2 linked regions of the Coturnix japonica genome follow. The protein of the gene in region 2 purifies or fractionates together with the protein of the main gene of each other region. This does not show direct contact. Links are inferred from orthologs where the notes say so. Each region holds a gene or a part of one and is shown on either strand. Other genes may lie near its edges. The genes, in order: ADGRA3 and RYK.

The links.
Region 1: the proteins of RYK (region 2) and ADGRA3 purify together in Homo sapiens (affinity purification with mass spectrometry; 3 studies listed by BioGRID and IntAct, with this or other methods). This does not show direct contact. The link is inferred for Coturnix japonica from reciprocal best matches to the Homo sapiens genes RYK and ADGRA3.

What each region holds. Positions count from the first base shown.
Region 1 is NC_029519.1:67,404,709-67,409,209, reverse strand, and holds the start of ADGRA3 (adhesion G protein-coupled receptor A3), read right to left. Parts: upstream 3,114-4,501; coding exon 2,848-3,113; intron 1-2,847. UniProt on the Homo sapiens protein: Orphan receptor that may have a role in planar cell polarity pathway.
Region 2 is NC_029524.1:3,431,354-3,435,168, reverse strand, and holds part of RYK (tyrosine-protein kinase RYK), read right to left. Parts: coding exon 3,784-3,815; intron 2,573-3,783; coding exon 2,440-2,572; intron 742-2,439; coding exon 632-741; intron 1-631. UniProt on the Homo sapiens protein: May be a coreceptor along with FZD8 of Wnt proteins, such as WNT1, WNT3, WNT3A and WNT5A. Involved in neuron differentiation, axon guidance, corpus callosum establishment and neurite outgrowth.

The sequences.
Region 1 (4,501 bases), on a different chromosome or scaffold from region 2:
TCATTGGCCTGTCTTCAGTAGGATAGCACTTTGTTCAACAGAAAAAGTTGTGAAATCATCAGTTGAGCTTGCATAAATGAAGCGGCAGCAGTGGTTATCTTATCTCAAACTTCGACTGCAAGAGGTATATAACATGCTCCTACTCCTTACTTAAACATGAATCATGGCAGTGACTTCAGTATCTACTGAAACATAGTAGACAAAGAATGAAGTTATATTCATCCAGTTATATTATCTCCACACCAAAAACATCTCATCTGGCCGGTTAAACTACAAAGGTCAAAGCAATCTGTGAATGTTCATGTAGGTACACCCTTCATTTGCATCCCAATCACTTTTTATTATATAAGGCTACAAGTCCCTTCCTTGGCCGTATCTAAAGGTCATATTTTAAGATGAATGTGAGTAACTGCTTAGTAAAGCACCAGCTAATTCTAATCAGAACGTAAAAGAATCTCAATTTACAGTCCTAAATCCTAAACATTACTTATTCTCCTGTACACATCTCTCTGTACTTTAAAGCACTTATTTCAGTGTTTGTTTTCCTCCTTCAACCAAAAAGCAAACTTACTTTATACTTTATTCATTGAAATTGTTAGGGTTTTTTTCTCCTGAATAGTAACTACAGATTCTTAGTAGGTGTAACCAGTAGTAACCTAAGTTACTAGAGCAAAGTAAAGTTCTGCAGCAATCAAAAGCCAGCCATTTCCTAACAAAATTAACTGAATTAAAACATAGCTGATTTACACAACAGTGATCTATTTTCAGCTGCTTATCTCTGTAGTGATCCACTAATCCAAAAAGCTATAATAGAAGTAGGTCTTATCTTAATAGAAGAATCCCACAAGAATCAAGATTCAAGATAATTCAGGGCAGCTTGACTCTAATCAGAAAACTTTCCACTCCCCACCAACTACTGCAGTTCAAAAGCAGCTTGGAAAGAAAAAAAAACCAACAAAAAAAGTGAATGGTTATCTAATCTTTTTCCAAAATAACTTAGCCTCTATTAAAGAACATGTTAATGAAATTGCACATAATGGCACATGGCAACCCAACTCATAAATCACCAACATCTTCTAACCAGGTTAATGATGACTCAGTAAAAGGATCTCAGAGATATGGAAAGTTAGACCTGAGGAAACCTGAAAGATTCCAAAACACAACAAGCACCGTGTTCACTCAGAAAAATCAAACGCATCAGTTTAATAGTCTTTGTCTGAAATTTAAGTAATATTTCAAAGTGTGCATTCATATTGACTCTATCAACACCGCTATGATACTCACTAGAGAAAACAGTAATAAACAACGTGTTTTCTGGTTAAGTCATTTAAAAAGTTAGGAGTACCGAAGGGAAGATCTGTTTCAGAAGTAGTCATGCACTTCAAGGGGTGGTTAGAAATGAAAGCAACTAATTACTGTATGAAGATATGCTCTAGATAACAAAGGAGTATGAAGAATCAAAATGAAATGAATTCTTCCAAATTCTTCTGTCACTGCAGTTATGAACAAAGGTCCATTCACAGCAAGGATGCTATATTTGATATCTGCTTGTCTTTCATAGCAATCAAGGCTGTGACTCCAAGTTTTTCGTATCAAAGGACCCCCACTGTCAACTTCAGCGTATCACCCAGACTAACACATACTTTTTTTTCCTTCTCTTTTCTTCGTGCGTGTGTGCGTGTGTGTGGATAATACTGTATTTTTAACAGCTAATCAGCTGCATGGCACTTACAGCTAACAAAAGCCAAAATCAATTCGTTGATCAAAGAGCTGTCACCTTTCACTTTTTGCTTTCCTTTATACTTCAGGAACTTCACATGTGAATATTTCTGGTCATTTCTGACAGATCGTTGAGAAATATTCCGACCCCCTGCATACTGACAAGCTGAGGGCAACAACACAGGCCCCTCTTTTTTGGTCTTCCCCTTTCCACTGACAGGCCCTTACTGGGGTACACTCTAACCTCTCAAAGAAGCCCCTCCATCAGGCTTAAGTGCTGTCAAAGTTTGCAAAGGCAACAGTCAAACTGTTGTTCTCAGAACAAAAATACATTCATTTAGAGCATGTCTAGAGGAGGGCCACAAAAATGATCCAAGGGATGGAACACCTCTCCTATGAGAACAGCCTGGGAGATCTGGGGCCGTTCAGCCTGGAGAAGGCTCTGAAGGGACCTGACACTTTTCAGTATCTAAAGGGAACCTACGAGAAAGAAAGGTACAGACACTTCAGCAGGGTCTGTTGTGATGGGACATGGGGAAATGGTTTCAAACGAAAAGAGGAGAGATTTAGATTGGGTATAAAGAAAATGTTGCTCACAATGAGGGTGGCGAGACAGTGTTAAAGGGCTGCCCAGAGATGTGGTGGATGTCTCATTGCTGGAGACACTCATTCCAGGCAAACAAGTAAGCATATTAAGCCAGACCCTATGCTATAGTCACTTTCCATTAACTTTCCTTCATGTGACTCAATCACACTTGGATCTCCCATAGTAGTAAAGGCTCCCTAAAATAAGATCACAAGTTTTCGGGCCATCACTGATGAAAGTGTTACTGCACAGCATCGGTTAGTGTCTCAGGAAGAAAAGAAAAACAACTCATAAACCCTCCCTGTGAAGAGCAGCAACACGTTACTTAGTTTGGAAAAAGCTGCACATCCTGCTTGAAACTTGTTATTCAAATGGATGAGCTCCACGTAGGAACAGCACGCCTAAACGTAAGCCGAAGTCAGGTCGGAGCTGGGAGCACGGGGACGATGCACGGTGAGAAGGGACCACCCCGCAGAGCGCTTTACAAACCGCTTCCCTTCCCCCCTCCATCCCAAAACCACCACCCCCGGTACCGTACTCACAGCGTGACCGTCCGGTTGGGCAGCGCCTCGGGAGGCAGGACGTGAGCGAGCTCCAGGTTGCTGCACACCACCTTTACTTCCAGCGGGCCGCCAGCCGCCGCTTTGCCGGAGCTTTTGGGGCGCCCGTCGTACTTACAGCCCGGGGGCAGCGCGGTGCCGCCGCCCCTCAGGGCCGCCAGCAGAAGGAGCGAGGCCAGGAGGCGCGCAGGGCGGCGGGCACGGGAGCGAAGTGGGCGGCACGGAGCGCGACGGAACGGGGGCAGCATGGCGCTCGGGGCCCGGCCCCGTTCCTCCCGGAGGTGCCGGATGAGGAGAGGAGCGAGGAGGGAGCGCGGCTCGCGGGCCCTCGCTTAGCTCCGCGGGGGCGGCGCTAGGCGCGGCCGCAGCTCCGCCGCCATGTGGTGCCGGGGGGTGGCGGGCCGGAGCTGCCACCGCCGTACCCGCCCTCGTCTTTGTGTCGGGGCCGGGAGCCCCGCGCAGCGGCAGCAGCGCCGCCTTCCGCCGCTGGGAGAAGCCCGCGGCTTGAGCGCCCGATGGGCCCCGGCCGCGCTGCGCAAGCGCCGCCGCCGTGGCCGTCCTCATTGCGCCTGCGCGTCGCGGGCTGAGGGGGCACGGCGGAGCGGAGCCGCTCCATGGAGGAGGAGGTGATGGCTGCGGCCTCGTGAAATGGGGCTGAAATGGCCGGGGTGGATGCTCTGTGTGCACGGTGTAGTTTGCTGCCCGGGCGATTACTCCGTTTCTGTCCGCCTTCGTGTCCCCAGCTCTCTGCGGGACGGTGGTGCTTCGTGGCCCATGTTCTCCTTGTGCAGCAATGCAGTTTGTGTAGCATCCTTCAGAATACCCGCTATGCCAAAGAAATACAGTACTCTATGTTGGCCATAACAGCTGCCAAAATGAAGCTAACGAAATCTTTAACAGTTTTACAGTTTCTTTGAGTAACTTGGGACACCTCTGACCTCTGCAGCCTTATTTTAAATGCAGCCTAATAAAAGATACAGGCAAAGAATCGCAACTGTGGATGGGGCAGGTGGAACAAGGCTTCAATAACAGTATCACCATTGCTTTGGCATGTTGTAGATACTCTTTAGCTACCATGCACTTTACCTACCTTTGTGTTTTCTCATTTGTCTGGCCTCTCACATGAAATGAAGCCTGTCCCACTTAATGAAGTTGTTGACCAGCATGCACAGGCTATGGCTTCTTGAGCATTAGCATTAGTCACGGAGTCACACAGCAAGACTGACCTGATCTGAATTGAAATGCCACACCAAAATTACACTTGAGTTAAATTAGGACAGGGCACAAAATATAAAATGGATAATATTCAGCTCTTATGTTGCTATTGTGCCAACTATAAGAATATATATATCTGTTTAGCATATAGCTCAGCAGTATAAAGTTAATTCTTCAGCTTATGCCTTTGTTTTAAACAATTTCAAGCTGCAAGGTGAAATTCTATTGGATCAACGCTTTGCATCATAGAATCCCATCACTTTTGGTCTAGCACCAGGAGTTTTAAAATAAGATATGCTCTATCAAAACCTTGAAGGTTTTAAGCAAAAGATTATTCTTGGAGGCTTGTGCTTTTACCCTCTTTTTTCCTTAGTGCACATACTACAGTTCCATTCTGTGCTAAAGATTTGAGAAGATTATT
Region 2 (3,815 bases):
CACAAGTAAATTCATTTGCTGCACTGAAATGAGAGGCTGTCACAAGGCAGCTTCCCTGGAGCACTGCTTGTGATCTTCGCCTTCGGTGGTATCACTTCTTTAATACATTCACCACAGAGAAAAAGCAACAAGAACAGATGAAAAGAACCTTCAAGAAACTATATCAAACTGAGCATCCTTACACACTGCAAGAGCCATAATGGATTTTGCTAAAAGGGCTCAGTGGCATCAATTCAAAAGCACAAGGGATGGCTATGGGGTAGGTCTTTCTGCTTCCCGGTGCAAAATCTGTCCATTAGCAAATTGCCAAAGAAGCTTCAATTTACCATCAAAATTTAAAGGAAAACACTTAGGCTAGGTGAGCATCTTCAAAAAATAAGGGAAATCAAAATCCAATACAAATCTTCCAGAATAGGATGTTCTGCATTCTTAAAAACCAAGCATTCTGTTCTACTATATATACACCTAGATGAAAGTTACACTAAAGGAACCACTTGCACAAAACATAAGGGGGAAAAAAGGTGGTATTGGTTTCGAAGCAGAGATCAGGTTGGTTAAAGGAAATCCATCTTAGCCCCAGTTATTGACATAACACTGTTTGCACAATGACTCTGTCTTGTTTGGTACTTACACACAGTTTCTAGCAGCCAGGTCTTTGTGAATGACCTCCCGTCTGGCCAAATAACTCATTCCACAGGCAATCTGGATAGCCATATGTACAAGATCCTGCTGGGAAATTGCCTGCAAGAGTATAGAACAACAATCAATACAGAACAGGCTAATTTTTAATTTGTAGCCTAATGGCCCTTCCCTTCTCTTAACCTTTAGTAGCCCGTGATTTTCTAGCAGCTGATAATACACTACCATCTTCTGAAAAGTTATGGAGATTCCTTATTCTAACTTCTTAGCCTTTTTTTCCTAGTTGACATGGCAGGGGCAGGTATTTGCATCTGCAGTTTTCTCACTGTTACGTAGCTTTTCCTTGGATTGGCAATGAATGCAGGCAAAAACTGGTCACTTGTACCTGCACACCACACTCTCATTTCGTTTTGTTTGGAAACCAGTGTCACAGTTACATAAAACTCTTGCCTTACATCTATATCCTGGTTTCTCTCTTCCATTTCTACAGTATTTCTGAAGCTTCAGTATGTAGGTAGATACAAGAGTATCAAGACTGGGGAATAAAATAAAGCCAAATACTAAGCTAAATTAAGAAGCTGTTAACAATAATACACTGGCTTCTAAATAAGAACAATGCATTATTTCAGAGAACTCAAAAGTTTGGTTTTGGTACTTCCATAGATGTTCATCTTTGAATAAGTACAACACCAAACATTCCAGACTTCGGTACAGTAGGAAGCATGGCGATACCACTGAGAGGCAACTCCTATTTGACGTAACACAGATTACAAATGCCATTTCTGAATTCTTGGAAAGGGATATTTGTGTGCTGAATAGAGTTTTATAACCCAGATTAAGTAGTAAAGCAGATAAATCAACGTTGGAAGATCATATTTATCATAGTTTATTGGCTTTGTAAATTAACAGAGGGAGGTAACCCTGAGAGTTTCAAATTTGGCACGTGATGGGCAAACGTTCACCTCAGCAAACCAGAATTCATTTAGAATTTAATTCAAAGACAAGAGACAAACCAAGGTAAAGCTGAAGAAAAGGAAAGATGAAGCAATCCCAGCAAGAAGAACGGTTCTAAAATACAGACAAATCCATGGCTGAACATGTCAGATTTCCTTCCAGCTTCTCCAATTTGTTAAAATCATTTTGCTGAAAGGGCATATTTAAAACTTAATGCTCATCTAATTATTTTATTCCTTTTCACTTCTTGTGAAACACATGAAGTTCTATGGAAAACACGGTAAAGTGTTACAAAACCTGAAGAGAACCAACAGCAGGAAAACAAACCAATTCTCAGAAACCACTTCCATCATCAAGGTAAATAAATACATTTGTTTTACTGTAAAGCAAATATACAGCAGTACGTCATATATTTAACAGAACTGCTTTATGCTTATTATGAAACAACAAACTACCATGCACTAAGAGATCGTCTATCCTGCAAAAAAACATTTAATATGACTCTTTCCTGTACACAACTTTTCCCTGTGTACTGTAACTTGAATCCACTACCATGTATCATTTCCTCTACTTTTTTAGATGTGCCGATATATACCAGCTCCTACCCTGACTGAGAGTTTAACTCAGCTGAACGGCCTCTCAACAGAGATAATAAAGGCAGCCAAGAATGTTTTCCTTGTATGAATCAAAATTACTGCTTCCTAAGGACCTGCTTGTCAGTTCTCTCATTGTCATAGGACAGGATGAATAGTGCAGCTACTTCTTTTAAGGTATACATACAGATGACAAACCAGGGCTTCTGAGTAAAAGCTGAATAGGCAGGAAGTGACAGATTTCAGAGCTTACCTGAGGATTGTTGGCCTCTACCAGCTTGCACTGTCGCAAGAATAGTTTAAGGTTCCCCCAGTTCATATACGGCAGCAGCACCATTGGTTTCTCTCCTTCTTCTATACAAACATGAGTGATAGGCAGCAGATTCCTGTAAGGCAGGGACAGAAATCTCTTGTTTCAGAGAGTTGTAATTTGACCAAAATCTTCTCAATACCAAAACACACTAACTGAAAGTAATTCAATATCAGGTAAAAGCTTTGTGTTACAGATTGCAGCACACAAAGACTCCAAGTAGCTGAGGAGACACTAAGGAGGATTTAAAAGGAAAAAAAAGAAGGTGTTATTGTGGGGGCAGTGGCAGGAGGTTTAGGGGCGTACTATTAATGCAGAAATAATTTAGGAGTTCTACCAGGGCTATTTCCTCTCCTCCTTCCAGACTGCATAACCTCCCCCTGCATTGTTTATAAACACCTTCCTGTAGTGTCAACATAAAAAACCCCACAGAAACTTGAAACAAACTTTATATGGTTTAAAATTTCCATGAAACATTTTTAAGAAACTGCATTTTCTAGTGAAAGCGTAGTAGGAAGTTTTCAGTGAGTTCTGTTGTTGCTTGGAACTTGGAAAATCCACATTTCCATAAGTCTGATTGTCAGGCATTACATCCATGAACTCTATATACCCATTTAGCTTCATCTTCAGTAAGAGATAACTTTTCTTCTGCATGATGTTTACCAAGGTGGGACATTTGAGGATGTCTACTTGTAAAAGGATAACAGTCAATTTTGAATGATGGGAGAGGGGTTATTTCACCTTATTTTCATCTTAAAATGTTTCCTTGAGACGCTGCTACTCCTTTTAATACAATTCTGTCTTTTAAGCAAGGTCTTAACTGTAATAATTCTTAGAAAAGCAGCTTCTAAATCCAGTGTAGCGTTAACAGTTTTCTTTTAACTACTTTCACTTCCTTCACAAACTACTACTAGCCACGAGACCTGATGGTGAATGTGGGTTTCTTCTGTCCTGCATCCTTGCCAGCAACAAAATTCTTCAAGGCCAAATTCAGCCTCCTGAGCCGTGTAGAAAATTACAAATAATACAAGCCAGACTAATAAATCAGCAAAATCAACCCACATATATACTTACTCTCCTCATTATCATTGAAATATCACATTGAACAACCAGCCTGTGCAAAAAGAGCAGTGTGAGCCACTACATTTCTGCAGTAACTGAAAATGAAAGGAATACCTAACTACATGTCACTGCTCAGCCTGGCACACCAAAACCAAGACAGCTTTAAAAACAGGTATTGTCGGCTCACACAGATGCAGTGCGGTTTCTGGACACAGCTTGGCTTACCTGTGATGAAGCCCTCTGAGTTTGCAACTTTC